Linked DNA regions of Notamacropus eugenii. The main gene of each other region encodes a partner of the protein of the gene in region 2 in a complex. Links are inferred from orthologs where the notes say so. Each region holds a gene or a part of one and is shown on either strand. Other genes may lie near its edges.

The links.
Region 1: STRAP (region 2) and GEMIN2 share a complex: the UniProt entries of both Homo sapiens proteins name them as parts of the SMN-Sm complex. The link is inferred for Notamacropus eugenii from reciprocal best matches to the Homo sapiens genes STRAP and GEMIN2.

Annotation. Positions count from the first base shown.
Region 1 is NC_092872.1:331,893,599-331,908,586, reverse strand, and holds the start of GEMIN2 (gem-associated protein 2), read right to left. Parts: upstream 6,913-14,988; 5' UTR 796-6,912; coding exon 572-795; exon of another isoform or gene 529-571; intron 157-528; coding exon 72-156; intron 1-71. UniProt on the Homo sapiens protein: The SMN complex catalyzes the assembly of small nuclear ribonucleoproteins (snRNPs), the building blocks of the spliceosome, and thereby plays an important role in the splicing of cellular pre-mRNAs.
Region 2 is NC_092874.1:190,184,667-190,200,787, forward strand, and holds the start of STRAP (serine-threonine kinase receptor-associated protein), read right to left. Parts: upstream 5,662-16,121; 5' UTR 5,249-5,661; coding exon 5,137-5,248; intron 3,467-5,136; coding exon 3,331-3,466; intron 1-3,330. UniProt on the Homo sapiens protein: The SMN complex catalyzes the assembly of small nuclear ribonucleoproteins (snRNPs), the building blocks of the spliceosome, and thereby plays an important role in the splicing of cellular pre-mRNAs.

The DNA.
Region 1 (14,988 bases), on a different chromosome or scaffold from region 2:
TGCTGTGCAGATAAATTTCCAGTACTTAACCGGAAAAAACGCTTAATAATAACACATTGTATAAAACTCACTGAAACATTCACGGTTTGCTTCCTTTTCAACTTCTTTGGGTCAATGTGTGCCACCACAACATCCGGACATTGCGCTGCCTCAAGCCTACGGATCAATTAAAAAAAAAAAGAACTTAAAAAATTTTTCATTTCAGGATTAATTCGTTCCCTCATCTGCATTTCTAGTTGCACGAAAGGTTTGGGGAAGTTCGCTCAGCAGCGCACCCAGCCCCCGCAGCAACCGAGGTGCTCCACCCCCGGGACGAGCGCGCCCCCCAGCCACCCCAGGCGGCGGCTTCCGGGCTCGGGAAGGAGGCGCCCCCTAGGTGGGACGTGGCGCCCCCCGGGTTAGGACGCGGCGCTCCCCCCTTCTCTCCCCCCTCCGCCCCCCGGGCGCCCCGCCTCGGCCACGTCGGCGAGGGAGGGGGAGGGGGCGCTAGGGCGACTCCACCCACGCCGCAGGCCTGAGTGGGGGAAGGGGGACGTGTTTGAGGCCGGACGCTCCGAGCCAAGCCACTCACTGGACCCTTTTCAGGTATTCCTGGGGCGTCCGAGGTGGCACGGAGGGGTCGAAGTCTTCCTCCAAGTCGCAGGGTTCCACAGGTAAGAGGCGGGGCATCAGCTCCTCCACCGCCGATTCCATAGCGCCTCCACCCAGGCGGTGCGGTCGAGGTGAGCCGTGGGACCAGGCCGGGCAAGCTCCCCTCTGCACATGCGCCACGGGCAGGCCCCAGAGCATGCGCATAGAATAGCTCGTGCCAGCTTCCTCCCTTCCCCCTTCTTTCCCTTTCCCCTTCCGTAAGAGTGGGCTGACGTAGTTTCCTGTTCCTGGATAACCTCACGTGTCGCTGTGTTCTGATAGAGTCTGAGGCCTGCGGCTTACGTTCTTTACCATCCTTGGGGCCTCTCATCGTGACCTGAAAACGCAGGGTGGAGGTTGGCTGTGTTCCCGGCGAGGCCGGAGCAGCCATCTCCAGTCTCCGCTGCCCGCTTTTCTCCTGGGGAGACTAAGTCCTGCCAGGAGGGGAAGCAGGACGTTGGTACCGGAGTTTGGCCACTCTGCTGTCACCCAGAAAGAGGGGTTACAGACTCAAATGACGTCAGTGATTCCGTGCTGACCCCATTGGGGTTTTCTTGGCAGAGGTGCTGCAGGGCTTCGCCTTACTGGTCTCCACCCTGTTGGTTTCTGGAGGAACTGAAACTTCTTGCCTAGACTTCAGTCTAGATGCTGATGGAGGAAGTGCCCTGGCACCTTGCGATGAGTGTGATGATCCCAGAGCCTCCTCAGTTACCTCATGTGAAGAGTGTGTGTATGTGTGTTGGCACGGTACTCATAGGAACCCCTGATTGGATCTATTAGCACCTGCCATGAAGCTGAGGAGATTGTTGTCAGACTCAAAGGACATACTGTCTATAGAGAACTTGGGGGTTGTTGTCAACAACAACTGGACTTCAAGAGTTCAGAGGATAGACTTTGGTTATATTGTAAGGCTGTGGAAATAGTTGGCCTCACTTTTTTGTGCTCTTCTCTGGTGTGATTCTTTCCCTCCCCTGGATTTGCAATAAGGAACAGAGAGGGAAGATCTCTCTCCACCGCAGGTTGCAGTGGTAGTTACAAGGATATGGCCATAAAAACATGTATTGAATTAGCTGAGCCAAAGTTAAAAGGATCATAGTTGTAGAGTAGACCTCAGAAGCCTTTTATTGTAACCCCTTCATTTGACAAATAAAGGAAACTGAAGCTGAGGGAAGTTAAATACTTGACTTGTACAAGGTCAGGATTTGAACCCAGATTTTCTAACTCCAGAACCAGTGCTCTTTCCACTGTTTTGCTTCAGTGAATTTTTTTTTTTTTTTGCTTTGCTATTTTTCCTCCCCAAGCATGAATTAGCAACTTGCAATCCTGAGAAATGGAGGTTTCCGGCCTATGTTTCAAGCTACCCCTTGGATGGAGTCCCTGAGTTTGAGATTCAGGTATCAGCTGATCAGAGGAGAGCTTCAATTAATAGAAAATGGGTATTGCCAGCACCATTCTTCCGTGAAGGGCTAGTGCAAATTGAAGTCATGTCCTGGCTGGCCATTGTACCTAAAACTTGTGAGTTGCTTGAACCATACAAGTCTGAGGTGAAAGTATAATATCTGCTTCAAAGCAAAATTGTTTTTCTTTCTGGGGGAGAATAATGCATATAATGGACTAATTGAATGGATTACATATTTTGTATTTTTTCATGTGTACCTTTGAGTCCTTTGTATCTTAAGCATTTTCTGTGATGGAAGAAATAAATACCATCTTATACTTGGTATCTCTATTGTACATTGAGTACCTTTTCTAGAGAGAACCTAGACATGAACAGTACTAAAATTTGTTTTAAATATTTTTCTGGGATTATTCTGAGCTGCAGGTATAGAGGAAGAAAGAGCAAAAATATGCCCTTCCACCCCAACTCCTTCCCCCAATGAATCCAGATATGTATAAGCCCAGAGCTCCCAGATTAGGGATGACCATGGTGCTCTATGTGATACATTGCACATAAAACTACTGATGCATTTCTGACACAGGAAATGTATTATTATTGGCAGTGTATCGCCAAGGCACAGATGGCAACTATGGATATGCTGGTGTAGATCTAAATTGCAAAATATAATAGACTCTCCATATAGAAAGCAGAAGAAAAACATTTATTCAAACACCAGAAAGCCAAATCCATCGTAGTAACCAAGAAGTTGATACACATTATCCCTGCAGGGGACAATTCCATTCCCAAGCCTTCCCACAAGCAAACACTTACAATCCTAGTGGTCTACTTGGCTGTGTCCTCTCTCAAACCTAACCTCTCCTACCCACTTCCACCCAGTTCTGCTCTAGCCTTCCTGTCCCACCTGTTCAGCAAGCTCCTCCTACCACATGTGATTAGGCTTCTATGTGATATAAACAAGTCACATGGACTTATTAATGGATGGGAAAGATCTTCAAATTAAGCAAAAATATATTAACAATACATACAGTGGGCCACATGTAAAATGAGGGGATTAGACTAGAAAGTTCCTCCAGGTCTAGAACTGTAGTCTTAGTACATGGGCATTTCTGGGAATTCTCATGGAAGACAAGGGTGCTGGAATTGAAGTTAAGACTGAAACTTAAAAGGGGGAAGAGAAAGAACTATTATGCTTATTTTATGTGGGGAAATGGTATAGTAACATCCTAGCCTGGTGCTTTATTGTTGTATGGAGATGTATGTAGAAAGGCCCAGGTCTTAAAAGCTTTTCTGGGGCAGCTAGATAGAACTGGGATACAGTACCAAGCCTAGAGTTAGAAGATCTGAGTTCTAATCTTACTTCAGATACAATAGCTGTGTGACTCTGACAAGAGTTTGTTTGCCTCAGTTTCCTCATCTGTAAAATGGGGATAATAATAGCACCTACCTCCCAGGGTTGTTGTGAGGATCAAGTGAGACAGTCATTATAAAGTGTCTGGCACATAGTAAGAACTATATAAATTAGGTATTATTATAGTACCTGGAGTCTGGGAGACTTGAATTCAAATCTAGCCTCAGATGTTCACTAGCTATGTGACATTAGGCAAGTCACTCAACCACTCTGTCTCAGTTTCCTCAACTGAAATCAGGGATGATAATAACATTTACCTCACAGGGTTATTGTGTGAATATCAAATGAGATAATATTTGTAAAGCATTCAACACTAAGCCTGACACATAGTAGGTGTTATATTATAATTTATACTATTTTGATAGTTATTATTAATTATTTCAGTGTAATACATGTTCAGGTGGGTCCTACTAAACTGAAAAGACTCACCTGACAGACTGTATTTCTTGTTTGAAGTCCAGCCAAGCTAAATTTATGGCAATTACTAGGTTGGTGAGTAGTGATGAATTTGTGGGCCATAGCAATTTTTGAAGATAGAATATTAACTTGTAAGAGGGTTTCAGTGGTGAAGAAAGTATACCTACACCATTGTAACCACAAATCTGTTGAGTATTGAAATGACATACATGCATGGTGACTTTAGTACTGCTGAAAAAGCAACGTGGTTTTTTTTTTTAGAGTACTTGAGGGTTTCCTGGGTTCCTTGATAATTTCATAGCCTATTATTTGAAGTAATTCACATGCTGAAGGGCAAGAACAGCTTTAATAAAGTTATGTTTTACTTTCCTTCATGTTGTATGGATTTTTTTTCCCACCTTTGCATTCTTCTATGCTATTTCCTCTTCCTCTGTCAACATATATCAGGACAATGCTGTTAAGGTACAAATGTGGTGATCCTAACTACCTTAGTTAGTGAAAAGACTTGTTAAAAATTCTGTGTGCTCCCAAACAAAATATTTTTATTCAAGTGAATTCTTTCAGAAAGATTTATGTAATGAGGCTGACTTGATTTGGTTCACAGGGAAGATAGAATAGATACATCTCCAAAGGCCCTTCTCCAAGGGAGATTTCATTTCTTGCCAGGGGGGGAAGCAGGAGGTTAGAGGAACAGAGCCTGACTGCTCTGATGTTCTTAGAGTGAGGGAATACCAGGCTAGACTTATATTAAATATTATTAGCCTAGGAAATGGAATTTTTAGGTTCAAGCTAAATTCCTAATTGCTATTCATTAATGGTGAAAGAAGGACCCCAAGTTTAATATCCAAGACTTGACCCTTTTCCCAGCAAATACCAGTTCCATAAGGAATATACAAAACAAAAACAAACAAAAATAAAAACCCACCTTTTGAGCTGATAGAAAATATAAACCAGAGAAGGTATACATATGAGAAAAGATACTTCAATAACACAGACTGAAGGAACTCTCCCATTGGATCAAAGTTCTATATGTCACCTTCTTGCCAGAGTCTTTCTTCTTTCATGGTCCCTAGGAGAGTTCCTCACGTGGCTTCTCTCTCTACACTGGAAGCTACAAGTAGGAAGAGACTGAAGATCTCTTTTTTCTCCCCTGTCTACAACTGTCCCCTCATGTATTCTCAGGGTATTGATCTCCACAATGAGGAGAGAGTCCCATACCATTGGGTTCTGGGATTCAAGCTTACATTCACACATCCTTTTTTTTTTTTTTTTTTGCAAAATAGATTTTAGTTCTGAAATAATATGAGTAAATGAAAAGGATAGTTCAAAACTGATATTGTAGGAAATCATGTGACCTAACATAATATGCTTAATTCCTCACTGTCTCCCCCCCTTTCCCCCACATCCCTTCAGTTGCCAAGCCTTGTTGATTTTACCTTTGCACTATCTTTTGTATAGGCCCACTTCTGTGACACTGCCAATACCCTGGGCAGGTCCTTATCATTTCACACTCAGAATAGTCTTCTTGTCTCTGTTCATTCCAGTCTCTCTTCTGCTCCTCTGTCAAATTGTCTAACCATGTCATCATCCAATAAGCTACAGTGGCTCCCTGTTAACTCCAGTATCAAAAATACGTTTGATTTTTAAAGCCTTTTAGAACCTGGCCCCTTCTTACTTTTCCAGGCTTCTTATATCTCACTCCCCTCCACACATTCTATGATACCATGAGATGGACCTCCATGGTGTTACTTTCAAGAGACACTACAGCTCCCAGCTTGATGCATTTTCACTTGCTGTCCCTCATGCCTAGAATTCCCTCCCTCCTCATTTCTGCCTTCTGATTTCCCTGGCTTCCTTCAAGTCCTGGCTAAAATCCCATCTTCCTATTATCATGAGTCTTTTCTCAGAATCCCTTTCTCTGTCTCTAGACTCAGCTCTAGATAGTCCTTGTTTAGTACTGTCTTGGTCTTTCAGAAAGAACATGGACCTTTTCCCTAGAACTGACAGAGGTTTTTCCAGTGCTTCTTCCCTGGAGCCTTAGTTTTGATTTGCTGTCACTCAGCAGGAGGTGGAAAAGCAGGGTATTCTTGGCAAACTAGTGAATTTGAGATTTACTTCTCCTTTATACATAATTGAGAACTCTTGGTAAGAAACTTAATGTGACTATTCGGTACATTTCTTACATCTTCATCTCTATAAGCTAGGCTGTTACCAGGAAATGGCTGTTTCCTTAATGTAGAATTCAGGGTTCCCTAGTTTTTTAAAAATTCTAAATACAGACAGTTCTCACTTTACAGAAATAGATCATTCCGTGGACCTCTGTGTAAAGTGATTTTTATGTAATGCGAATTCCCCCCCTCCCCAGCCTATATAGCAGAGGCATATACAAAATAATTTGTTGCTGTTTAATCATATCTGATTTGTCATGACTACATATGGGTTTTTCTTGGCAAAGATACTGGAATGGTTTGCCATTTCCTTCTTGAGTGGATGAAGGCAGACAGAGGTTAAGTGATTCACCTAGGTTCACTTAGCTAGTGAGTTTCTGAGACAGCCTATGACTTCAGGTCTTCCTGACTCCAGGCCCAGTGCTCTATCCATTGAGCCACTTAGCTGCCTCCAAGGCAAACAGAGGTTAAGTGACTTGCTTAGGGTCACACAGCTAGTAATTCAGATATACCTGACTCCAAGTCTAGTATTCTGTCCACTGAGGTCTAGATACCTCCTACAAAGTAATACCTTTATGCAAGTCATAAAATATACTAAAATGTAGACATAATAAATACAGTGCCATGATAATGAAGAGCAATGAAATGACAGGAAAAGTTAATGATAAAGTGTGTACAGCACTATACAGTAAAATTAATATAGGTATACAGTATGTTGCCCCTTCCAGTTGGCTGTACAACTTTTTAAAAATAAAATTATTGAGAGATGTTTAGTCAGTGGCTCTTTTCTTTTCCTTGTATGTTTGACGGTTATAAGCAATATTATCTTCAACTAGTCTTTGAACTTAAAAATCTCAAAGTATTTGGCTCCATCTTTGCAAAGCAAGAAAAAAAATTCACTCAAATTATGAAATACTTCAGCAAGCTGTTTCATTGTGAATCTTTTTGGTTTTACCTTAGTTCTGAAGCTTCCCCTTCCTCTTCTGCATTCTTTGCAGCTAGCAGCTCAATCAAATCTACATTCAATATTTCTTCCCTATAAGATTCAATCAACTCCTCCACATGTTTCTCATCTGCTTCTAGCTCCAATTCTTGTGCTAATTTTACAATATTGTTACTCACTTATTACAGTGTTTCATCTTTGTCAAATTCATGAAAATCAGGAATAAATTAGTCATACTTTTTAAAAAAACTCTTCATACATGTTTCTGTTATATCTTATCATTCCTTAGCAGTATTTCAGGTTGCATGGTAAATATTATAGGACTTCCAGAAATCTCTCAATATGAAGTGCTTATCTGCATTCAAAGCTTCAGTTGCCTGGGCAAATGAATGTGTAAACAGTATGCCTTGAAATTTACAATCACTCCCTGATCCATAACTTGAAATAGGTAGTGTTAGGGGGAAGGCAGACCATTTAACATTTTCATTAAAATCATCTAGATAGGGAGGATGACCTGGGACATTATCCAAAATAAGTAGAATGTTGAAAAGAATGCCATTATTATTATAAAACTTCTCCACTTCGGGAGTGAAGCAGCGCATAAATCCTCATTCAAAGATGATAAAGGTTATCCATGCCATAGGGTTAGCAAAATAACGCACAGGTAGTGTGGCTGTGCTGATTCCTTTCAATGATCTGGGATTTTCCAAGAGATGTATGTACAAGAGCAGGTTTTAATTTGCAAGTCCCAGATATGTGCCCTCCAAGCAGAAGAGTAACTCTGTTTTTTGAAGTTTTATGCTCCAATATAGTTTTTTCCCTCCACCAAGATGTAGATTTGAGATATTTGATACAATAGGCCAGTTTCATCTATACTAGGCCTGCACAACCTATGGCCTGCCAAAGGATTGTGGGTGGCCTGCAAAAAATGTAGAGGCTACATTTCACAGGCACCCAGAATCGTTTGGCAGGCTTGTGGGGTTGTGCCGGCCAGGTCTACATTAAAGATTTGCTTGAGCAAGTAGGGATCATCATCTATTATTTTTTGCAGGAAATCTGGAAACTTCTTTGCTGCTTCAATATTTGCACTAGCAGTCTCTCCTGACACTTGTACATTATGAAGTCATGCAAGATTTTTAAATCATACAAACCATCTGCTTGCTATAAATGCCTGTGTTCTTTTATGGTACTTTACTTTTAAATCTTCAAAGAGGTTTTGAGCCTTGGCTTGAATTTCACCAGACTCAAAGGAATATTCTGATTCTGGTCTTCTATGCACATAGTGAATAGTTTCTCTATCTCTAGAATAGCATCTTCTCTTTGTTTTGATAGATAAGTCAACTTCATGCAACCCTTTGCCTTTTGCAGTGCTTTATTTGGGCATCATCTTTCACTATGGTGTTTATAGTTGACACTGCAAGACTAAGTTTACATACTATTGATGACAATTTTGGCCTCCATATTTTATAATTATTTTCATTTTCCTTTCCAAATCTATTTGCTTGCGCTTATGAAATGGTTCACTTTTCCCCCTTAAGACTGACCGCATTTGTTACCAGTCATGGTGAAAGTGTAAGGATCACTATTGAACACAGGGAGAGAGGCACAGCATAACCGTATACAGACACATGGGGACAGACTTAAGATACTTCTCAGCTTCCCACCACCATTTATGCTGTTTGTATCATACTAACAGTATCTACTTTGCATAAGAAATTTTCTAATTTTTTTGTCTAATTTTTTTCGAATTTTGTTTTTCAGAACTCAGTAAAAGTTGAGTTTGCAAGAGTTTTAAAAATCTGTAATAGCCTAAGGGACTCAGTTCTTGAATATTTTGTAATCCAATGGAAGTTTTTGTGGGAAGACTGGCCAATGAGGGCCCAATCCTTAAGGCATGCTTGAATTTACTCTTCCTTGTTGGTTCTATTTCCATTCAAGTTGTGGAGCCTAGTGATTAGGGGACTGATTCAAGAATTGCTGTGAGCCATTGGGGGAGTGGGGGTGGGAGAGGCAGTAGCAGTAGATGCCACCCTGTCTTTCTGCCCAGCCACCACATGTCCTTGAATACAAACCTTTCTCTTTCCTACTTTGTTTTTATTATTACTTACTAGTATTCTTAGAAGTGAATCTCCAGGCAATCACTGTGTTCAGAGAGCCATCAAAGAGTTCTTGCCAGCAACCAGAGCCATATCACTTCGTCAGCAGTGGTGGCCAAGTCTGGTAAGAATCAAGCATAGCAGCTGTTTGGCCCAATCCAGCAATGGACTGACATGTCAGTCGGCAAACCATGCTGGCAAGGAATCAGCCTAAATGAGCAAGGGACTGACTCATCTATCAATGATACAATGCCCAGAAGCAAACCTGTTGGGGACTCAGAGAGGAGAAAAGGATTGCTCACACCAGTACTTCCACATTATGGCTTTCTCCAGCTTGGTTTAGATATATAACAGGTTGGCATAAGAAATTAAATGGGAAATATTGGGGAATTTTGTGGAAGCCACAGATGACACGTGAAGGCTGGCAGACAACACAGAAAAAGTTTAGAAACTCAGAGATGCATAAAATATATGTATAGTATTGTGTATCAACATATTTTATTTTTTAATACCATAATAATTCAGACTTCTTCTCTTTTACAATGAGAGGGCCAAAAACTTTTACACTTATTTTCCAGATCTGGGGGAGTGGCACTGTTCCCCTAATGCCAATGATGTGGAAGGGATAACTGTACTTGTAAGGTACCTCTGGATCCCACTTGTTCCCTACCTGTGTGCTTCACACCTTTGTGATCTAAACTTGAGCACATTCTCTTCAAGGACTATGCAGAGAGGAGAGTTTGCTTTGGAATTGGGGAATTGCTTTGTAACTTCTGTCTTTGCTATATCTTCCCATTATAGAGGAATTGATACCAATTGATTGGTAGATACTGGGGGGCACAGTGGATGGGGGCTCATGGGCGACAGTATTACAAATCCTAGCCCCTCAAGGTCACTCCTAGAATCCTGAGGGGAGTAAATTCATTGCCTTCTGGGGAACCTAAACTGCTGTCTAGTGTGAATTGGGAGAATTAGCAGAGAAAGGGTGTTACAGAAGTACTATAACTTTGAGACTTCCTGAACAAATATTGGCCTTTGTTTTGCAAGGCTTTTGTTTGTTTTACAATGGATTTAGCTGGCAAAAACTTGTCTCTAGAACCAGGATGTAATCATTAGCCCTTTCACTGAGAGATGATGAAATAGTACTTATGAGCTGTTAACTAGGCAGTTGAGCACTGTAGAGAGACCCTGCCTAACTACAAGAAACCTAGCAGAATTTCCATGGATAATTTGTCAGCATAAATCTGAAAAAGAAGAAATAAAGGAGACAAAGTCTTAAACTTTTTGACAGTCAAGCAGTGCAAGATTCGGTCGTGATATTTTTTTCTTGACATTTTGTAAGTGCATTTTTTTTTTAGCACTGAATAATATATTAGCATATTTTTTCCTTTTTTTTCTCTCACTGGAAACTAGGAAAAAGTAAAGAGGAATATCTATTTACAAGACTAACTGCAATATACAATGGCTATTGAACTAACAATGGAATTCATGCAATATGTGGGAAAACATATGGTTCACAGGAAAAAGAAAAAAATGGTCAGAATAGAGCGCTTGTGTTCCCAAACCATAATAATGAATTATTTTTCAAAAAGGTAAGTAACAATTTATTTAAATGAATTAGCAATTCTGAAAATTTGACATGATTTTGATTCTAATATTGAGAGAAGACATAAATATATTATATCAGTAGTGTATTACAGAGGGGTGATAAATTCATTTTACAAAATTCAGAAAGACAACTGATGATGGTTTGCTTTTATGGGCTATTGTAAATGACCTTAAGGCTAATGAAAGAATTTTATTGTATGCTTGTATGAGTACCCAGACCTTTGGTGAAATGTGTCTTGCAAGGCAATGACGACAAATGGCTACCAAGAGTAAGGCTTTTGGGGACGTTGAGTATGGCTGACTGGTTGAACAGTTATTGGAGATCATTGCTGTTTGTCTCTCACTGATTCCAGTACTACCATTGATTGATGGCTGTTGTCTATGGATGCTAAATGAAAACCTATCCTTCTAACTAGCCAGAACTATGCTAGCTGGAACTGCATGAGGGAAATGCAGTTGATAGGCTGATGTGCAGTCTGTGGGGAGAATGGAGAATAATGAAGGGAAAGAGGACAGTTTCACCCTAAGTACAATCTTTCCTGGAGGGTGGGGGCTTTCTGAATCTGAAGAACAACCTAATATTAGAAAGATTAGAAAGTCTCAACACCAAAAAATGATGCATTTCGTGGCTACAGCAACTTCTGAAACCACCAAAGTATCAAGAAGTTGCAATTTGTGCATTGGGAGAGTTCTCAGGTTGATGACATCATAGATCCTTTGCCAATGGAAATAGTATTATGAGTGTAATACTCACTTTGTGCTACCCCATTCCCTTACCACAAGCTTACTTTTGGATTAGGGCTTCTGGAGGTGACTATCCCTAAATCACAGAACCTTGTAGGTCTGAACTTCTAAAACTATTCTTCATGGGCCCTCCTATTCATGGCTATTCAGTTGACGTAATTAGCTCAAAGCTAAAGACATTTGCTGAAATGGCACAGCATGAAAGTAGTAACAAAATATTTATTCCATAGACCTGGATCAAACTCTCCCACAAATATAGGCAGATTTACTTAGAAAAGTGGACAGAGTTCATAAGCAGAAAGGAATATACATAAGCAGCAACACATGTAGCCAAGACAACTCCCACTCCAGGCACTTCAGGGTCCTCCTTATTACCTTCTCATTTTACGCTGTCATCCTGCATAGACTATCTCTGGTGGACAGGCCATTCTGCTGGACTCCCTGGTCTGCTCTTTTCCACAGACCAACTTGACTCCACAGCTGGACTCTCTGTCTTCTGCTGGGCATGGAAATTCCTACTAGGCAAGTTGCTCAGCTGCAAGATACCATTGCCAGTGATGGAGAGAGAGGAAGAAATTCTCTCCCCTTTCTCTGCACTCTGGAGGAGGTGCAAGGCAAAAGTTAAATGCAATATCTCAACAGTTGAATTCTTTCCTCAGAGCTATCTCTCATCTCTATTGCTAGCTTTTCTGAGCTCTTGTTTTTCTTCAGAGCGGTCCAACTTTATTTTTTATAATGGTCCAACAACTGTGACTGACTCTCTTAGCTAATCACCAGATGTCTCCTATGTTCTTGGGCTTCATTCAAGGGTCAGCACTCTCTTGGGTTGCTTAAGTAACATTTTTTATGCTTCTTAAAAATTTTACACTGGCCAAAGTCTGAAAGGGACACAGCCTTTACAATCTGTGAATGCATCTCAAGGCTTCATGTCCTTTACAATATCATCAGTATTATTAATAAATGTCTAGTAGCCTAGTCTAATTAGATTTGAAAGAGGAACATGAGGAAAAATTCTAAAATGGCCTTGGAATGTATCATTTGCTATAGTAGAAAGTGCCCTGGACTTTGAGTCAGAACATGATTGGACTATGGACAAGGCACTTATTATTTCAAAGCCTCAGTTTCCTTAGCTATAAATTGAGAGGACTGTACTAGAATATTTTATTTTAAATTTTTTAAAATTCATTTTTAATTTTATTAAAGTTTATTAATTAATTAATAATTAAGTTTATTATTAGTTCCATATTATTGGTTGTTATTTTATAAAAATATAAGTATATATACAAATTATAATAATGTAAATTATTGATACTAAAGATAAATATATACAATATTATGTATAAAATTATTAGTTATTATTCATTTTATTATTCATTCCAAAATTTCTTTCTCACTCATTAAGAAAGCAAGAAAAACAAAGCTTGTTACAAATAGATATAGTTAAGCAAAGTACATTCCCACGTTAGCCATGTCAAAAAAAAATACACTTCAGTTTGTACTCTGAGAATATCATCTCTTTATCTAGAAGTAGAGTAGTAGTTATCTAGTAGTTTCTTCATGAGTCCTCTGTAGCTCTGGTTGATTCCATTGTGTTGATCTGAGTCTTTCAAAGTTGTTTGTCCTTTAGGATGTTATTACTGTATAAATTATTCTCCTGGTTCTGATAACTTGACTTTGTACCACTTCCTATGTCTTCCCAGGTTTTTCTGAAACTATCTTGCTCATCATTTCTTAAAGCACAATAGTGTTTTATATGTGTGTGTGTGTGTGTGTGTGTGTGTGTATACATAGATATGCCCACCTCTCTCTCTCATTCTCTCTCTCTCTCTCTCTGTCTCTCTGTCTGTCTCTCTCTGTCTCTCTCTCTCTCTGGCAGGTGGTGTCCCTAGAGTGGGTGGCAGTGCCTTACCTACTCAAACTTTGTCAGTATCCTAGGGATATGTATATGCGTACATGTTTCCATGATACTCCTACTGTGTGCCTCTATAACTGAGCATCTACCATTGTGTTTGTCATTTATACAAAATCAGTCATTGACTCTTAAACATGAAACATTTGGTAAACGAGAAAGTAAAACTAGGAATAATCAAAAATTTACTCATTAGAATGAGGGTGACAAAATAATCCAAATACACCCATATAACTGGATCAATCCTCTGTCATTTAATGGATACTCTCCCAGTTTCCTGTTCTTTGCCACTACAAAAAAAGCTGATACAAATATTTGTATACATATGAGAAATATGAGAAAATTCCCGCTTTTTTGATGTCTTTTGGATAGTAGTTGTATCATTGGATCAAAGGTTATCTACACTGTATTGACTTTTTGGACATAGTTCGAACTTTCTTTTTAGAATGACTATACAAATTCATAGCTCCTCCAATGGTATGTTAATGTGAATTCCTGTTTCCCCTGCATATGTAGTTTCCCGGACATATGTAGTTTTCCTTTTTTGTCACCTTTACTAATCTGATGACTAAGGTGGCTCCTTAGAATTGTTTTAATTTGCAGTTATAATAATTCCCTAATTGTGATCTGGAACATTTTCACATGGTCGTTGATGGCTTGTATTCTATGTGTTCGTAACCTTTGACTATTAATCATTTAGGCAGTGGCTCTTAGTTTTAGATAAATTTAAATCAATTATATCTTAGAAATGATACCATTACTAGATAAATTTTCTACATTTTCCCCCAGTTAACTTTTTACCTTCTTATTTTGACAATATTGTTTTTATCTAAAAATGTTTTACCTTTATGTTAATAGAAAATTGTTAATTTCCCTCCACCTCCATGATTCTATCCTTGTTTCATTGTGAACTCTTTCCCTTTTCATAGATATGAAAATAAATTTCTTCCTTCTTCCTCTGATTTATGTGATTTTTAAACCAGTGCCAGATCATTTGGTTTATTACTATTTTGCAGTATAGTTTGAAATCTGTACTGCTAAGCTTTCTCATTTTTTTTTCATATTTCCCTTGAGATTTTTGAGGTTCCTCCAGATAAATTTATAAATTATTTTTTAGCTCTACGAAGCAATCCTTTGGTAGTTTGATTGGTAGTACTGTCATGTTTATTATAGTGGCTTGACCTGTCCATGAATAATGAATATTTGCAGACTGGTGATGCCAATGGATTCCTTTTCAGGATGTTTTTGAATGCACAAAACAAAACATATAGTATTATAAAGGAAACAAATTTACCAAAATATTGAAAAAAATCACAGACCACAGGTCTAGAATCCCTGGTGTAAAGAGTGTTTTGTACTTGTATTCATATAGTTTCTGTGCGTCTTAGGAGGCAGACTCCTAAATATTTTATACATATGTCTTTTATTTGAATTTTATCAGTAACATACAGAAATGTTGATGTTTTATGGTAATTTATTATGTATCCTGTAACTCTGCTGAAGTTAATCTGTTTCAATTAATTTTTAGTTGATTCTCTATATTCTTTAAGTAAACAAAAAAGCAAAAAGTGGTAATTTCATTTTCTCTGCGTCCATACTTGTCCCTCTTGTCTTGTTTTATTATCTTATTTCAATAGCTAGCATTTGTAGCACTACACTAAATAGC
Region 2 (16,121 bases):
AGCTAACATTTGGCACAACTCAATATACATTTTAAATTGTCCTGAAAAACTGGTTTGTCAAATAAGCTTTCTCAACAACAACAAAAGCCAAAAACTATTCTTTAAAATACTCAAGCATCAACTGCTTTTTGTGATGAACATAGTAAAGATAAAAGAACCTTGAAAAGTTCCCATATTGGCAAAGCAATCTGATTCCTCAACAGTTAAGTGAGCTTGCATTTATCCCCTCCTCTCCCCCATCAATATCCACACCCAACTCTAGGAAAATCAGTCTAACTTTGAAAATTACATAAACTTAGAGGCACAACAGATTATATTAAAACCACTCTCCTTGCCCTGTTTCACACAGACTTCCTGAAATAAGACACATCTAGCTTCTAGACTTGGCTCAAATGTCTCACAGGTACTAAAACTGTAGGGTAACAAGATGACAAGTAACTCAATAAATGTGCACCAAATGCTACAAGTATAAAGAAATTTTTCTTACAATCCAAATTCAGCTTAATTTCCATGTCAAACTGGTTTTCATGACAACATACACAGGTTTCAAAAACTGAGAGAAGCTCTCATGGATTTGGTCAACGATAGGTCCCAAGTCAAACTCCACTTGGATCATTGTTCTGGCCCAGAACTGACTCCAAGTGAATGTAAATAGGAATTGTTTCTGTTTTGGTCAGAAACCCTGAGGGTCTTTTCCTCACAATTTGATTTTTTGGCCTCAATTCTTTTTTTTTTTTTTTTTTTTTACTTTTAGTCACTGATGGGCTTTGTCTCGGTCAAATTGAGACCTGCTAAAAACCTTAGCTTTAAAAGGCCAAGGTTTACCACATCTGCAGCCATCTCCAGTTGGCCTGACCTGTGTCTGGCCACTGCACCCAGATGCCACTGGAGGAGAAAGTGAGGCTGGTGACTTTGCACAGCCCTCCCTCACTTAAATCCAATTCCCGTACACATGGCACCACCTCCCTGATGTCAAGGTCCTCTTGACATCCAGAGGAGGAAGAGGAGAAGGACAAATAACATGTTTCAAAACATACATATTTATCCTCTTATTTTAGATGAACCAGAAACACAACATAATCATTTAACCAAATAAATTGAGAGTCATATACTGACTCTCAAAGCAGAAACTTATAGGATAATAATCCAACACTGATTGGCATTTGTAATACTTTTTGTGAATATTTGCCCCCATATTCTCCATTCATACCTTCACTCCCATACTGACACTGTCATCTCTCATAGTACACCTCTCAAGAGCTGATAATATAAAGTTAAATTTATGCACCTAAATCCTTCTGTGGATTTTACAGCTGAATTGGGCTTTCTTCACGACCAGAACAAAATTTTTCTCTCTACATCATCTGAACTTGACTGACAGCAGACAAGGACATCACAGTGTGCAGATATAGGTTAATTAATATAATCTAGCCAAAAAAGGAGGTATACACAGCTTCAGACAAGTTGTTCTCATACTTTTGTCCAGTGAGCCTCACCAGACAGTAACAAATAACCACAATATGCCAAGGTATACACTTCTGTTTCTGCAATTAGCAAATTTACTGACAATTTGTTTAAAAGACAATACCTTATTGATCATACATATTTAGGTTGCTGAAAAACAATTCTTTACCAAATGAGCTCTTCTACCAAAGATGGATGTAAAATAAATTCTTTTCCTATTTCCTTTATAAAACCAAAGCTCGACTGCCACAGAGATAGAAGAAATCAATAAGGATCAAGGGGAGGAGCATACACAATAAAACAATCAGGGGAGAATAGTAACAGTGAAGCTAATAGAACATTAAAGCTCAAGAGGGATTAACAGTATCAAATAATAGAAAGGGAGCAAATGTAAGTAATGTGGGGGTCACATTTACAGAGTTGTGAACCTCAAATGCCTACGTATAACACTATGTCAATTATTACCAAAAAATTAAGGATTTCAAATTACATAAATTTGAACCATTTGAGTGTGTATGTGTATAAATGTGTGTATATGTATATGTATGTGTGTGTTGTTTAGAGGCACATACATGTTAGAGGCAGATTATCCTGGAGGACTTTTGTTTCAAATCCTGTCCCTGACAACAGCTATGTTACCATAGCACAAGCTACCTCTCAGTCTCAAGTAATTTTTTCTATGACATTTCAGTTAGAGACAAATTGTATATACTCCAACAGCAAAATCAGATTCTAGACATATTAGGGTATGTATGTTTGTGTTTATATGTACACACTTAAAATTCCTAGTAAAAAGACTGAACTTTATGAGTTAAAAATTATGTTGAATTAGATAATGGCAACATCTCTCAGCCTATCTTTTTCAAAACAAAGGTTAGCAACATCTTACACCTGTGGTTGGTACTCACATTTTCTCTACCCTCAGTCTCTCATTGCCATCTCATTACCTCACCCAGACTACTGTGAGAGCCTCTTAATTGGTCTCTCTGCCCTTTCCAATTTATCTTTCTCACAGCTAAGTTGATTCAGTTGTCTGATCAAGTCACTGCCCTACTGAGAAATCTTACCTGTTGTTTTTAGGATAAAATATAAACTCCCCAAGCTGGAATTTAAAGCCCTACAGAATCTGGCTTCTTCCACCTTTCCAGATTCATTTACTACTACAGTCCTTCTTACACCCTCTATTCTGATCATACTAATTAATAATACCCACACATGCTATTCCATTTCTCCCTTCTGAAACTTTGCACTCCTCTGACATCTGAAACTCACTCCTTCATTTGTATTAACTCTTTCTGCTAAACAAAGCTCAGGTTCTACAATCTTCCACAAGTCCTTTTCTGATACCTGGCTCCCCCCACCTCCACATCACAACTTATGAACACTTTTTACCTCTAAAAATTCCTTCCAGTTTACTTATGTACATGTTTTAACATTGCAATAGAACAAAAAGCTCCTTGAAGGTAGGGACTTTGATTTTTTGTCTTTCTATAGAGTAAGCACTTAAATGTTTCTGGCACTGAGTTATAATTATCTGTGTACATAATTTACTTACTTAGTAAAATTTAAGCTAATTATAGGCAGGGACCTTTCTATTTTTGTCTTTAACACATTGTTATATCGTTGACATTTAAGTGAGTAGTCTTGCTACTCTAAAACAGTAAAAAGTCAGATCCAATCACTTTCCTTACAAATAAAATTTTTTGAACCAATGAATTCTACAACTGTATATCAGTACTTTGAACATAAAAGGACCCAATGATTTTTGCTGAATGATTAAAAAGTATGGCTTGTTAATGTTTTGGATATTTCATAACATATTTCACAAGTATACAGTTAAAAGGGAGAAAACATGCCTTTACTTACGCTGTAAAATCTGCAGCTGCTGTAGCTGCTTTTGTAGCATCTTTATTCAATGTGGCACCCCATACAGCACCCTTATGACCCAAAAATGTTCCAATCCAGTCTCCTGTATCTCCTTGGCGTAGCATAGGCTTACCATCTAAACAAATTTTTAAAAAGTGATTAATAAGTGTTTCAGTAATCAGTGTTATATTCCTAAAAATTTGGGAGTTAAAAGTTCTCAATAATTACACTGACATAATGAACTGCCAGAGAAGAAACAATTGCTCTATAATTTAATTTTAGAGCTGTGTGAGGAACTGAGAAGTTAGGTGTCTCTGGGCAAGTCACTTCAGCATCTCAGGCAACTTTCTGGGACAAAGAAGCCACCAAATCTCCACCAGTAAACAAGTTCTTCACCTGGGAGCCCTCTATCTGGAAGAGGTCTCATAAGGAAAAAAAATGTAACTGTGGAAATAATTTGCCAATCTCACAATTAAATAAAAGAGCTAGGTAAAGTCATGTGAGAAGTCCAGCAAATCTTCAAAACTACTCTCAAAGCAAAAGCTTGTAAAAAAAAAAAAAAAGAAATTACAAGATTTTTATCATGAAACAGACATAAATGGTATGATTAACTTAACTATTAATTTGTTACATCCAATTCAAATGTAAAACCTAAGGCAATAAATGAAAAGTATAAGACAGCAAAAAACCAAAAATCACAATGTATTTGCATTTATATATGGACCTACTGAGTATTTTAAAACATAAATGATTACAGAAAGAATTATCAACCATAATTGGATAACAGCTGAAAATGTATTTTAAAGTTGAAAAAAATATTCAACATAAAATTGGTAATTATACTTCAAAACAGAATTTCCAAAAGCTTTCATGCTATATATTTTAAATTGAGGCAACTCTTCATATGTTCTCCTCCAATACCTCCTACCGATGTGGGGATAATCTTTCACATTCCAAGATTATGACAACAGTAAAAGCATGGACTTGTCTACTCTAGATCTAACCTGGCCTTTAATAGCCCATTAGCACACTTAAGAAATCAGGTTGGCCACCCCAGGTGGTAAATTTCTTGAGAAGCATGGAAGGGCTCACTATTGCCAGTTGGGATGAAAGGAGTCCTCCCCTATGATAAAATTATGGCCATTCTGAAATGTTAAATATTTGATCCTAAGTTTTAATACATCTTTTAGTATGAAAATTCACTAAGTGGACTCCTCGATTCTACGTCCTGGACTCCACAAATCATGTATGCGATATTTCCTTAATAGTTTGTGAATACACTACAATACAAAAAAAAAAGTGGGGGGAGGCCTTTGACTTTTGAGGATCTAAAGCTTAGCCTATGACTAATAGACATGTTGTAATCTTTAAGTGGGGCAAAATCATAAAAGATAAAAAAAAATAAAAAACCCAAATTGTAAACTTGTTCCAAGTAACTTGGCGAGAAAGTTGAGGTAGTTTGCCTAGCCGATTCTTAGCCATGTGCCCACAGCAAACGAGGCTCCTCCAGGCTTCCTCTGTTCCCCACCGAGCGGGACAGCCCCCACTCCCTAGGGCCTCCCTGGCAGGGCCCCACACCAGCACCCCTCCCCCAAGCCTCGGAATCTATTTCCAGCCTTTCCAGGCCGGGGCATCTGGACTGGCGGCAACTGGGCCCGCCTCCCAAAATGGGGCCACGGCCAAACCCGGGGTCCCCCGGAAGCGGGCAAGGGCACGGGGAGGCCTCTGGAGCCGGCGCACGGCCTGTCTCCTTCCTTTCCGCCTCCAGGCCAAGGAGCGCCAACCCGAGCCCGGGACCTCGCTCACCTTTGCAGGCGCTGATCAGGAAATAGCCGTAGGGAGTGATGCCACTGAAGGCCAGATCCACCACAGGCCGCGTGTGCCCCGAGCAGGTCAGCGGGGTCTGCCTCATCGCCATGGCGGCGGCGGCCGGGTCGGGGGGGACGGCTCCTCCTCAGCGGACGGCTGCAGGGAGGCGCCGTGGGGTCGCTGATGTCCTCCGAAGGCTGCTCCCGAGGGGCGGCGAAGGCTCCGGCCGCTCCGGGAAGGGCCTGGTTCCGACACAGGGGCTGGGGCGGAGGGGGAGGGCAGGAAGCTGGACGGCGGCGCTGAGATCTGGAGCGGCCTCCGGTGGGTGGTTGGGGGGGGGGGGTCAGCGCGGGGTGGGCTCTAGCCGCCGAGGAAGGGAGAGGAAAAGGAGGAGGAAGAGGAGGAAGGGAGGGAGGGAGGGAGGGAAAGAAGGAGAGGGGAGCGCCGAGCCGGGCGCCGCCAGCACCGTCCACTCCGGCGCTGGCAGGAAGTGACGACGGTAGATGACGTGAGGGCGTCGCTGGAAATGACGACGTAGAAAGGGCGTGGCTTCGGCCCCGCTGCTGGCGCCGCTCACTTTAGGCCCCGCCTCTGGCCCCACCCCCCGGGCCCTCCCTTTCTCTACCTTCCGGAGAGAAGGAGTGGGTGAAGGCACTAGCAGGTGGGGCGGTTTGTCTCGAGCGCTCGGGAAAGGCGTCTCCTGCCCCGCCCGTTTGGGGTCCAGGCCACCCTGGGGCCGTATCGTCTTCAACCGATTGGATCTCGACTTGAGCAGTTTTAGGGACGCACGTGTCCCCCAGAATAGCAGTCGCCCTGCTTCCGGTCCCCTCCCGGTCCGACTCCTACCTGAGTCCGTGTATTTTGTTGTATTTTCAGTATACACAATAGCGCCCCAGCTACAGTAACCGTGGGTGGAATCGCATTGTTAACCTTCTTCCCGAGGTTCTAGATCTAGAACTGGAAAGCCCTTGACGTTCCCAGGAGCCCAGGCTTAGAGACGGGCGGCTGCGGGCACGGACCGAAGGAGGGCGGATCGGAGATTCCAAGTCATCCCCTCCTTCTCCACCTGCTGCGCTGCCCGCTCATGGGCAAAAAACAACTAGTTTAAGTTTTAAAATGTATTAGGCTTTTCTTGGGTGCCAGGCACTGCGTGGAGAACCCCAAGGACAGAAACAGAACAGCCCCCGCCTTCCAGGAGCTTGACTTGGCTGAGCTGGCTTGTTCTACTTCATGTTAAAGAGGAGGAAACTGAGTAGCAGGGATTGAAGTGACCCGTTGGGTCTTGTCCGATTCGTGACCCCAGTCGGGTTCTCTTGGCGAAGATTGGGGTTTGGGGATTTTCTTCCGCTCATGTGGTAGGTGAGGAGTTGAGACCAACAGGGTTGTGACTTGCCCAGAGTCGCATGCCCACTAAGAGTCTGGGGCCAGATTGTCTGCCTGATGGCAGGGCTGCTGCTCAACCTGCCCCAGCATCAAGCTGTACTTCATGAATGGCGCATAAGGTTCTCTGATAAATAGATGAATCAAAAAAAAGTATTGATAAAGCGATTGGTATGTGATAAACAGCAAAAGTGCTGGAAATACAAGTAGAATGACGCACACCATCCCTATGCTCAGGAAGCTTAGATTCTTTCTAATGGTGGAAAAAACACACATAAGGGAGTAGCAAGAAAAAGGAGTTATAGTCTAGGGAGTCACAGAAAATATTTGTATTATGTTATCATCCCATTTGATGAGTTTTACATCTTCGATTCCAACCCGGAGCAGCTTTTATCATGGAGTGCTGACATAGACTTAAAAATTTTTTTTCAGTTTCAAATTCTTTCCTTCTCTCCACCTGTTCCTCATCCATTGAGAAATCAAGAAATTAATACCTATTATACATATGAAGTCACGCAAAACATTTCCACATAAACCGGAAAGCAAATAGTATACTTCAAATCTGCAATCAGAATTCATCAGTTCTCTCTCTGGAGGTGAAAAGGTGATTTTTCATCAGAAGTCCTTTAGAATTGTCTAGGATCATTCTGTTGTTGATCAGACTAGCTAAGTCTTTCACAGCTGACTACGTTATAAGGTTGCTGCTACTATGTACAGTATTTTCCTAGTTCTACTCACTTCACTTTGCATCAATTCATATGTCTTCCTAGGTTTTTCTGAAGCTCATCATTTCTTACAGCACAATAGCATTCCATCACAACCATATGCCATAGCCTTTTCAGCCATTTGCCAAATGATGGGCAGCACAAAAAGAGCTGATATAAATGGATCCTTGAAATGGAGTTTTGATACAATTTCATCACCACACTCCCTGATTATCAGGATTGTTCATCCTTTCTCCCAGAGGCTGTGTCTCTGATAAATCAGCAGAATCCTAAGGAGAAAGAGGGATCTCTACTCTAATATTTTCTCAGATCTAGGCTTCAGCTGATCAAGACAGACTACTTTTGTATATAGTGCCAGTTGACCCCCTCCAGTCCATTCTTACTCCATCTTTTGTGTGGGTCAGCTGGACCTTAAGATTTGTGACATCTCAGAAGATTCTCTGCAACCTGAAGAAATGGTTCAGGTCTCCCTTAACTGATAGATTTCCTTTTCCCTGAGATGTTTTGGACTATGTCTTCTTAGAAAGGGTTTGAGGGACCAAATGTGGAGTATTTTTTTCTTTTCTAATTTGAGAAAAAACTCTCTTCATCGTCACAGTGAGCTTAGAGGTGTTCCTAGATTCTAGGCTTATTTTCCCAATTCATATGTAATAGACGTGGGTAGATCTAATATAAAACAATTAGTCCACATATGATATAGACAGATATCAGAGGTGAGATCTGGAAAGCCCTATTCCATGTCTGCAAATGGAGATTATGATTTCCACCTCTGGCTTGGAGGCAGTCTGGAACTGCATTGCCAAAAGCCCTGTGAACCACAGGGAGAATCTAGTCAAGGTATGACCAGGCAATCACTCTTGCTCTTCTATCCCCAATAGGTATTTGAGGCTACAATTATATCTGTTGTTGTTCAGTCATGTCCAATTGTTCAGGACCCCATTTAGGATTTTTTGTCAAATATACTGGAGTTGTTTGCCATTTCATTTTCCAGCTCATTTTGCAGATAAGGAAACCGAGGCAAGCAGGGTTAGATGACTTGCCCAGGGTCACACAAGTAGTAAGTGTCTGAGGCTGGATTTGACCACAGGAAGAATCATCTTTCTGATTCCAGGCTCAACACTGTATTCACTGTGCCCACAATTGTATCAGCACACCTCAAATATTTGTAGTCTAAGGGTCAGTGTTCTCTCTTTTAAACATTCAAAACAAAAGGCACTTTTCCCCTTGTCCCTCTTAAGGGTAGGATAAAACTTAACTCACCCTCATCAGCTAAGCTCCCTCCCACCAAATAATAGTTATAGAAAATACAAATACAGATAGCTATTAGACCTCTATCAAAGTAATCAGTAAATGGAAATCAGCTCATTTAGATTAAAGTAGTAGAGTAGAATAAATGAGCTCTTCTGAACTGAAATACGAACTCATTTCAACTAAGGGAAGAGAAAAATGAGGAGTGAGGGCTAGGAGGGGGTATTCCACTCAGCATTCTCTAGGGCTGGTGCTAGAAATCAAAAGACCTGTTGAAGTCTGGCTTTACCGCCAGTCGGTATCTTTATTTAGATCTCCTGTCTACTATTCAAAAATTTACATTCTTTCTGGATCTCCCTTTCCATTTCTCTCAGGAATCTCTTAAAAGAAATCCCTTCTCCGCTTTATGCTCAGCAAATGAGTCATGGCTTTCTGCTGCTAGCCCCTACACACACACACACACATACACACACACACACACACATCCATACAGTCTTACAAGACTGCCCCTAAGAAAATTACCCAAAACTTGGAGCAAAAGTGGGGTTACAGAGGAAAAGTGACCCTTTGACTCATTTGGAGGTGATTTTAAGTCCCTGGATGACAGTGGAAGGGAATTTTTCCAATTTTCATAAAGGAAGGTGGTATCCCATTATTAGAAGCACCATCTAATACCATGTATTATATGTAATTTTATCTGTTCTGGGCTAGCTCAGACTCAGGCCATTGTAATGGCTAGCAAAGTAGAATTCTTGGCAGTTTTTCTAGATTGAGTTTGCCAATCAAGTGCCTTCGACTGAGTCTTACCTTTCATTGAATCAATTAAGAATCTTTGATTGGAAACAATATACATTGTATTGCTTGGAGAGACAAGCAGAGCTAAGAGAAGCAGAGAGAGAAACAGAGCTGAGAGAAAGAAACGACCATGAGTGGGCTAGGGGAATGGGGACACCTAACAGAAAGAATGTTTGTGATGTTGGTGCTCTGTCTGTTGGTCTGTGTTAATTCCTGAGGCAGAAGCCCTGTCTGTTAATCTGTGTTGATTTCTCAGACAGAATCCCTGTCTATTGGTCTTTATGAGTGAATTGAGATGAGGACATTGGTAATGTGTTATAAATATTGTTATAGCCCTCTTAAGCTTTGTTTTCTTAGTAACAAAAGCTATGGGCAGGAGCCCCTGGAGCCTGTCATTAGGCAAAAGCAGGAAGAGTTTGGAGTAGAACAGTCACCATGAGCTGAGCCAAGGAACAGGAGTTGAGAGCTGCCTGTATGTGAACCCAGGCAAAAACTGAGAATGGTTGGCCCACAGAGGAGGAGCCATGGTGTTTGGAAGTCAGCCTCAGGTCAAGATGAGAAAGGACTTTACTTGGACACTATGTATTAAATTAAGGAGATTGTTCTTACAGTGACCTAGGGGTGGATGGTGGGGTATTGTCTGATCCCCTTAAGGATGCATTGTGCTAGGGAAGACCCTAGTCTGTGACCCTCCACTTTGGGGATGTAGTGATTTATGCTATGCGTCATATGACATACTGAATGTTATGAGATACATGTATGTATTAGATGATATGTTTTGTTTAAGGATGTTGATATGAATGTTATATTTTATTGAATAATGTGTAGTTTATTGCTGAACAGAGAGTTTTTATACTATATGCTTAGATCCTTAAGATCATTCACAGCAGCATTCCTCAGGTGTGCTGCCATGATTGGCTTTACAGAAGCTGCTCATTTATTTTTATAATGGAAGAGAATGAAAATTTAGATCAACCGGCAGTTAACAAAAGGAGATTTGCTTAGCCATGGTAGAAGGATATACAATAAGGACTACATTGAGAACCCCTTGAGTTGATTCACCTGAGCAAAGCTTCCTTGCCTGAATTGTCCATTAAAAGTTTTCCATGGACCAAGAATTGCAGAGCACCTGAAGCTAGTTTTTCATAGCTGTTTTATATTTAGGCAGCCAGGAAGTGATATCAGCAATTTCATCCTTTAGTCTTCTGAGCCAACCAAGGCTAAAGGTTAGTCTCAATACCTTTAAGAAAATATTAGCTTAACTTTCATGAGGGCAGGATTAGGATGTGCCTTCTACCATGCCATTATCCCAGTGGGGCTCCTAGGGAGGGGAAGTTTTGGCTGGTGGGCCTGGGAACACTGAATGGGTAGCAGGCAGGTACCTGGTACCAACTTGGGCCTCAGAACAGGTGGCATGCAAGTGACCAATAACTACTTAGCTATTTTAATTCAGATAATCCATATCTCTCAGCTTCAGAGGTTTCTCATTTGTTTCGTGGCCCTGGATGTTCTTGTGCTGCTCCTATCTAACAAGACTGTTTTATCCCAGAAAAGTTTCTATGAATTTCCTCTGATTTTACTTCCTTGATGTTCTAAAGATTTTTTACATTGTTTTATGTTTTTATAATATTTTATATATTGGGCTTCTCTTCCATTGCTGCTTATATTAAGGTTGTTTTAATATTATTTTTGTGGTGAAAGGTCCCATAGAAAATTTTAGGGAACTTGATACTAAGGGGTAGGAAGTGGTAGGAGAAAAATCTTTTCTATGTAGCCCAGTCCTGCAAGGGCAGAGAGGTCATTTTGCTTTCTTGCTGCCTAATTATATAGAAGGTCCAGCACAAGAGAATTAGTGTTAGAAATTTCAGCTTGCCTCCTGTTGCTTTCTGGAGAATGTTTTCCTACCTGTGCCAATTCTTCAGGAGGATCTCAGTATTGTTTTAACATTATATCCTTTTATGTATGTATAGAATGTATATCAGATTTCATACTGTCTTGGGGAAGGAGGGGGAAGTAAGGGGAGAAAATTTCAACCTTATGGAAGTGAATGTTGAAAACTAAAAATAAATAAAAAAAGAATTTAGTCAAAAAATTATATCCTTTAAAATCGCTTCTTTTATTCTCTTATTTAGTAAAGTGGTGTTCAATATAGTTTTTATGCTTCTTATTACACCTTGAAGCCTTGAATATGCTTTAGGCTTGACCTACACTAACAATTTAGGTTGGAAGGGAAGTTACTAGTGGTTGGGGGATCAGGAAAGACTTTACATAGAAGGTGGTACTTGAGCTGTGACTTGAAGAAAGAGAGGGATTTCGTGAGGGGAGGGTCATATTGAATCATGTAATCTCAAAGTTGAAAGAGAGGAACCTCAGAGGTCACAGGTTCCTAGATATTGGTCTACAAAGGGGCCTTAGAGGTTATCTAAGTACAACTACATTTTGCAGATGAGAAGATCAACAAGGTTAAATGACTTGCTCAAGGCCAGATAGATAGATAGCAGGAAAGACAAGATTTGAACCCAGGTCCTCTAACTCCAAATGCAGAACTTTTTTTACTACACTACTGACACTCATGAATGCTTTACCATCATGGCTCAAGATCAGTTACTACAGTTGATTAATGGATAGGAAATATATCTGTAATGTCTTTAACTAATAATCTTGACCATCCAAGCTTGGCTTAAAAACTTCTAGTATTGCATAATTCGCCTTAAGTCAGCCTATTCCACATTGGAGTAGCTCTCGTTGATAGAAAATATGCACTTAAATCCAGCCAAACTCTAGTCTCTACAACTTCCACCTATTGCTCCAATATCTGCCGTTTGTGATGAACTGGCCTAGTCCTTCTTCCATAAAAGAGCCCTTTTTATGGAAGACTCATACAAAAACAGCTAGCATGTTTCCCTTAAATCTTGTCTTCCCCAAATTGCATAATACTTTATATTTATCACAGCTCATTTTTTAAGATTCTCATTAGTCTTGCCTCTCAAGATCTTTTTGGAACATAATTCTATCATCTAATGTGTTGACTCTTCCTTCTACCTTTGTGCCATCTGCAAAGTCAATAAGCATACTACCTGAGTCCTTGACAAATATTTCATTGTGTAACAAACTTGGAGGGTAATAAAAATTATTTTATTGTTATGCTTTTTAATACAACGAGTTTATCACCAAAAATCATGTTCCTGACCATAGGTAAAATAGAACTGGTATTTGTTGTATTAACCTGATGACCATCCTATTGGAGCTACAGAAACAAAATGCTAGAAATAAGTATATATGAACTACCAAGCTAGCATTATTTGCTGAAAGATACACAAGATCTAAATAGGAATTTCCAGCCCTGTGATCCAGTCCTTGCTCACTTTTAAGTGGCAGAGGCTGTCCTTGGGCTTTAGCTTCTTTCACTTTCAGGAATGCTCTGAGCGCCACTAATACTGAATGTGTATAACAACATGGAGGTGCTGTTCTAGGTCAAGTCTACCTATTTCCCTTTACTGTACCCTTTATAGGCTTTCTGAAGCAAGAAGTGTTCATCAGGACAGTGTTGGACAGTTCTCATCTCTCGCTGTATTGCGTGATGAGTATTAACTCTATATTAGGCCTATGCCTGGCATATTCAGTTATCCCTAGGCTAATGAGGGAAAGTAGGCTTCAGTTCTACTTTGCTCTGGGCAGCTGGACAGGGACATAAATCAACACACTCCTCTCTTGCTAATTAATAGGATGGGAGCTATGTCTAATAAATAGAAGCAATGTGTTTCATATCATCCATCATCCCATATAGGCTCATCAACTACTTCCAAGTCAGGAATGGGTTCCTCTCAATCTGTCCTCTGCTTCATTAGGTGATTTATTCCTCCTGAGACTTGTAGGGTATCTATAAGGGAAAGGAACAAGATAATAGCTGGAGAAAGGGGCACATGCTTTATCCTACAAGCAGCTGGGGTTAGGAGCTAAGGGAGACTGTATTCTTAAGGAATGCAAGCATAGGCACAAGAGCTAAGCTTAAGACCCACAGTGCCTACTTCATAACTGGGTAAATAGGGTCAGTACAGATCTGGGGCCTTTCAAGCCAAGTCAAAGACCAAAAATAAAACTACTGCCTTTTTTACTGAACCACAGAATTTTAGAGTTGGAAGGGATGTGTCAGAGGCCATGTAGCCCAACTCATACACAAAAAGATTCCCTAATGTAATGTAATTGAGAAGTGGCCATCCAAGCTCTGTTTAGAGGCTTCTAAGAAGGGGAAATCCATTTCCTCTTGAGATAATAATTCCACTTTTGGATAGCCCTAATTGTTAGGAAATCTTTCCTGACAGCAATCCTATATTTACCTGTTTGCAACTTCTGCTCACTTATTTCCCCTTGTTCTTACTTCTAGGGCTAAGGAGAGCAAGTCTGATCCCTCTTTCAGATGACATTCCTTAAGATACTTGTGGATGGCTATGATATCACCCCAAGTCTTCTCTAGCTAAAAATCCTTTCTTCCTTGATCAGATTCTCATGTGATGGATCTATGCAACTTCTCTGATGTAGAGTTAAAATGTAAAAGGAGTATTTACATGCAAGAAAAAAGGAGGGAAAGTAATATTTATACCATCACTTACCCCCAACACCACTATTTCCCTTCCAAATCCTTTTTCCTCCTGAGCCTTAGTTGCATTGTTTGATTTTGATGGGTGGTTGGGGAAATTGAATTTCTCGGGATGTCTCATGAATGAAACAATAAAAGACATTTGCTACTTGATAGCTGAATAAGAGATTTGGGGGGGCGGAACCAAGATAGCGGAGTAGAAAGACGCACATACACATAGCTCCGAACCCACAACCCACAGAACGGCTAGAGGGGACCAACTCACGGTGAATTCTGCACCCAGAGGCCACGGAATATTGGAGCGAGGGAGATTTCTGTTCTGGAGAGACCTGCAAACCTCTCGCGGGGGTCCTTCGCGCTGCGGACTGGGCGCCGGGACTGGGAGCTGAGTGCAGCCCTGCAGCGGCCGCGACACCGAGAGGAAAAGATCCGAGCAGGCTACGGGACGGGATCTCCAGTGGCCATGCGGGTCCCTCCACCCACAGAGGGACCTGCAAACCTCTCGCAAAAGGTCCGTCGCACTGCAGACATGGAGCCCAGCCCAGACCTATGGCGGCCGCGGCTCCGAGAGGTACAGATCCGAGCAGGCTTCAGGGACGGGATCTCCAGCAGCGGCACAAAGTCCCGCCACCCACAGGTGACGGGGGTTGGTGAGAGAGTCTCTTTGGCGGGTTGAGAGGGGAGTGGGTGCCCCCATGGCTCGGCCCCCCCCCCCCCCCGGGAGGTAGAAGCTGAGAGGCGGCTGCAGACAGGGGCTCCCCAAGCGGGCGGGAGCCTGGATCCATTGTGGAAGGTCTGTACATAAACCCCCTGAGGGAACAGAGCCTGAGAGGCGGCCCTGCCCCGACCTGACCACCTGAACTTAATTCTCACACTGAATAGCAGCCCTGCCCCCGCCAAAAGCCCTAAGGCTGGAAGCAGCATTTGAATCTCAGTCCCCAAACACTGGCTGGGAGGACCAGGAGGCAAGGTGGGAGTGAGGAGAATATTCAGAAGACAAGCCACTGGCTGGGGAGAATGCCCAGAAAAGGGAAAAGAAATAAAACTATTGAAGGATACTTTCTTGGAGAACAGACATTTCCTCCCTTCCTTTCTGATGAGGAAGAACAATGCTTACAATCAGGCAAAGACACAGAAATCAAGGATTCTGTGTCCCAGCCAACCCAATGGGCTCAGGCCATGGAAGAGCTCAAAAAGAATTTTGAAGGTCAAGTTGGAGGGATAGGGGAAAAACTGGGAAGAGAAATGAGAGGGATGAAAGAGAAGCATGAAAAGCAGATCAGCTCCCTGCTGGGGGAGAACCAAAAAAATGTTGAAGAAATTAACACCTTGAAAACTAGCCTAACTCAATTGGCGAAGGAGGTTCAGGGAGCCAATGAGGAGAAGAATGCTTTCAAAAGCAGAGTTAGCCAAGTGGAAGAGGAGATTCAGAAGCTCACTGAAGAAAATAGTTCTTTCAAAACTAGAATGGTACAGATGGACGCTAAGGACTTTGTGAGAAAGACAGGTATCACAGAACATAGCGAGAAGATTGGAAAAGTGGAAGATAATGTGAAATATCTTATTGGAAGGGCAACTGACCTGGAGGATAGATTCAGGAGAGACAATGTAAAAATTTTGGGACTACCTGAAAACCATGATCAAAAGAAGAGCCTAGACATCATCTTCCATGAAGTTATCAAGGAAAACTGCCCTGACATTCTAGAACCAGAGGGCAAAATAAATATTCAAGGAATCCACAGAACACCACATGAAAGAGATCCAAAAAGAGAAACTCCTAGGAAGATTGTGGCCAAATTCCAGAATTCCCAGGTGAAAGAGAAAATATTGCAAGCAGCTAGAAAGAAACAATTCAAGTATTGTGGAAATACAATCAGGATAACACAAGATCTAGCACCCTCTACATTAAGGGATCGAAGGGAATGGAATAGGATATTCCAGAAGTCAAAGGAACTAGGACTAAAACCAAGAATCACCTACCCAGCAAAACTGAGTATAATACTTCAGGAGAAAAAATGGTCTTTCAATGAAAGAGAGGATTTTCAAATTTTCTTGATGAAAAGACCAGAGCTGAAAAGAAAATTTGACTTTCAAACACAAGAATGAAGAGAAGCATGAAAAGGTGAACAGCAAAGAGAAGTCATAAGGGACTTACTAAAGTTGAACTGTTTACATTCCTACATGGAAAGACAATATTTGTAACTCTTGAATCATTTCAGTATCTGGGTACTGGGTGG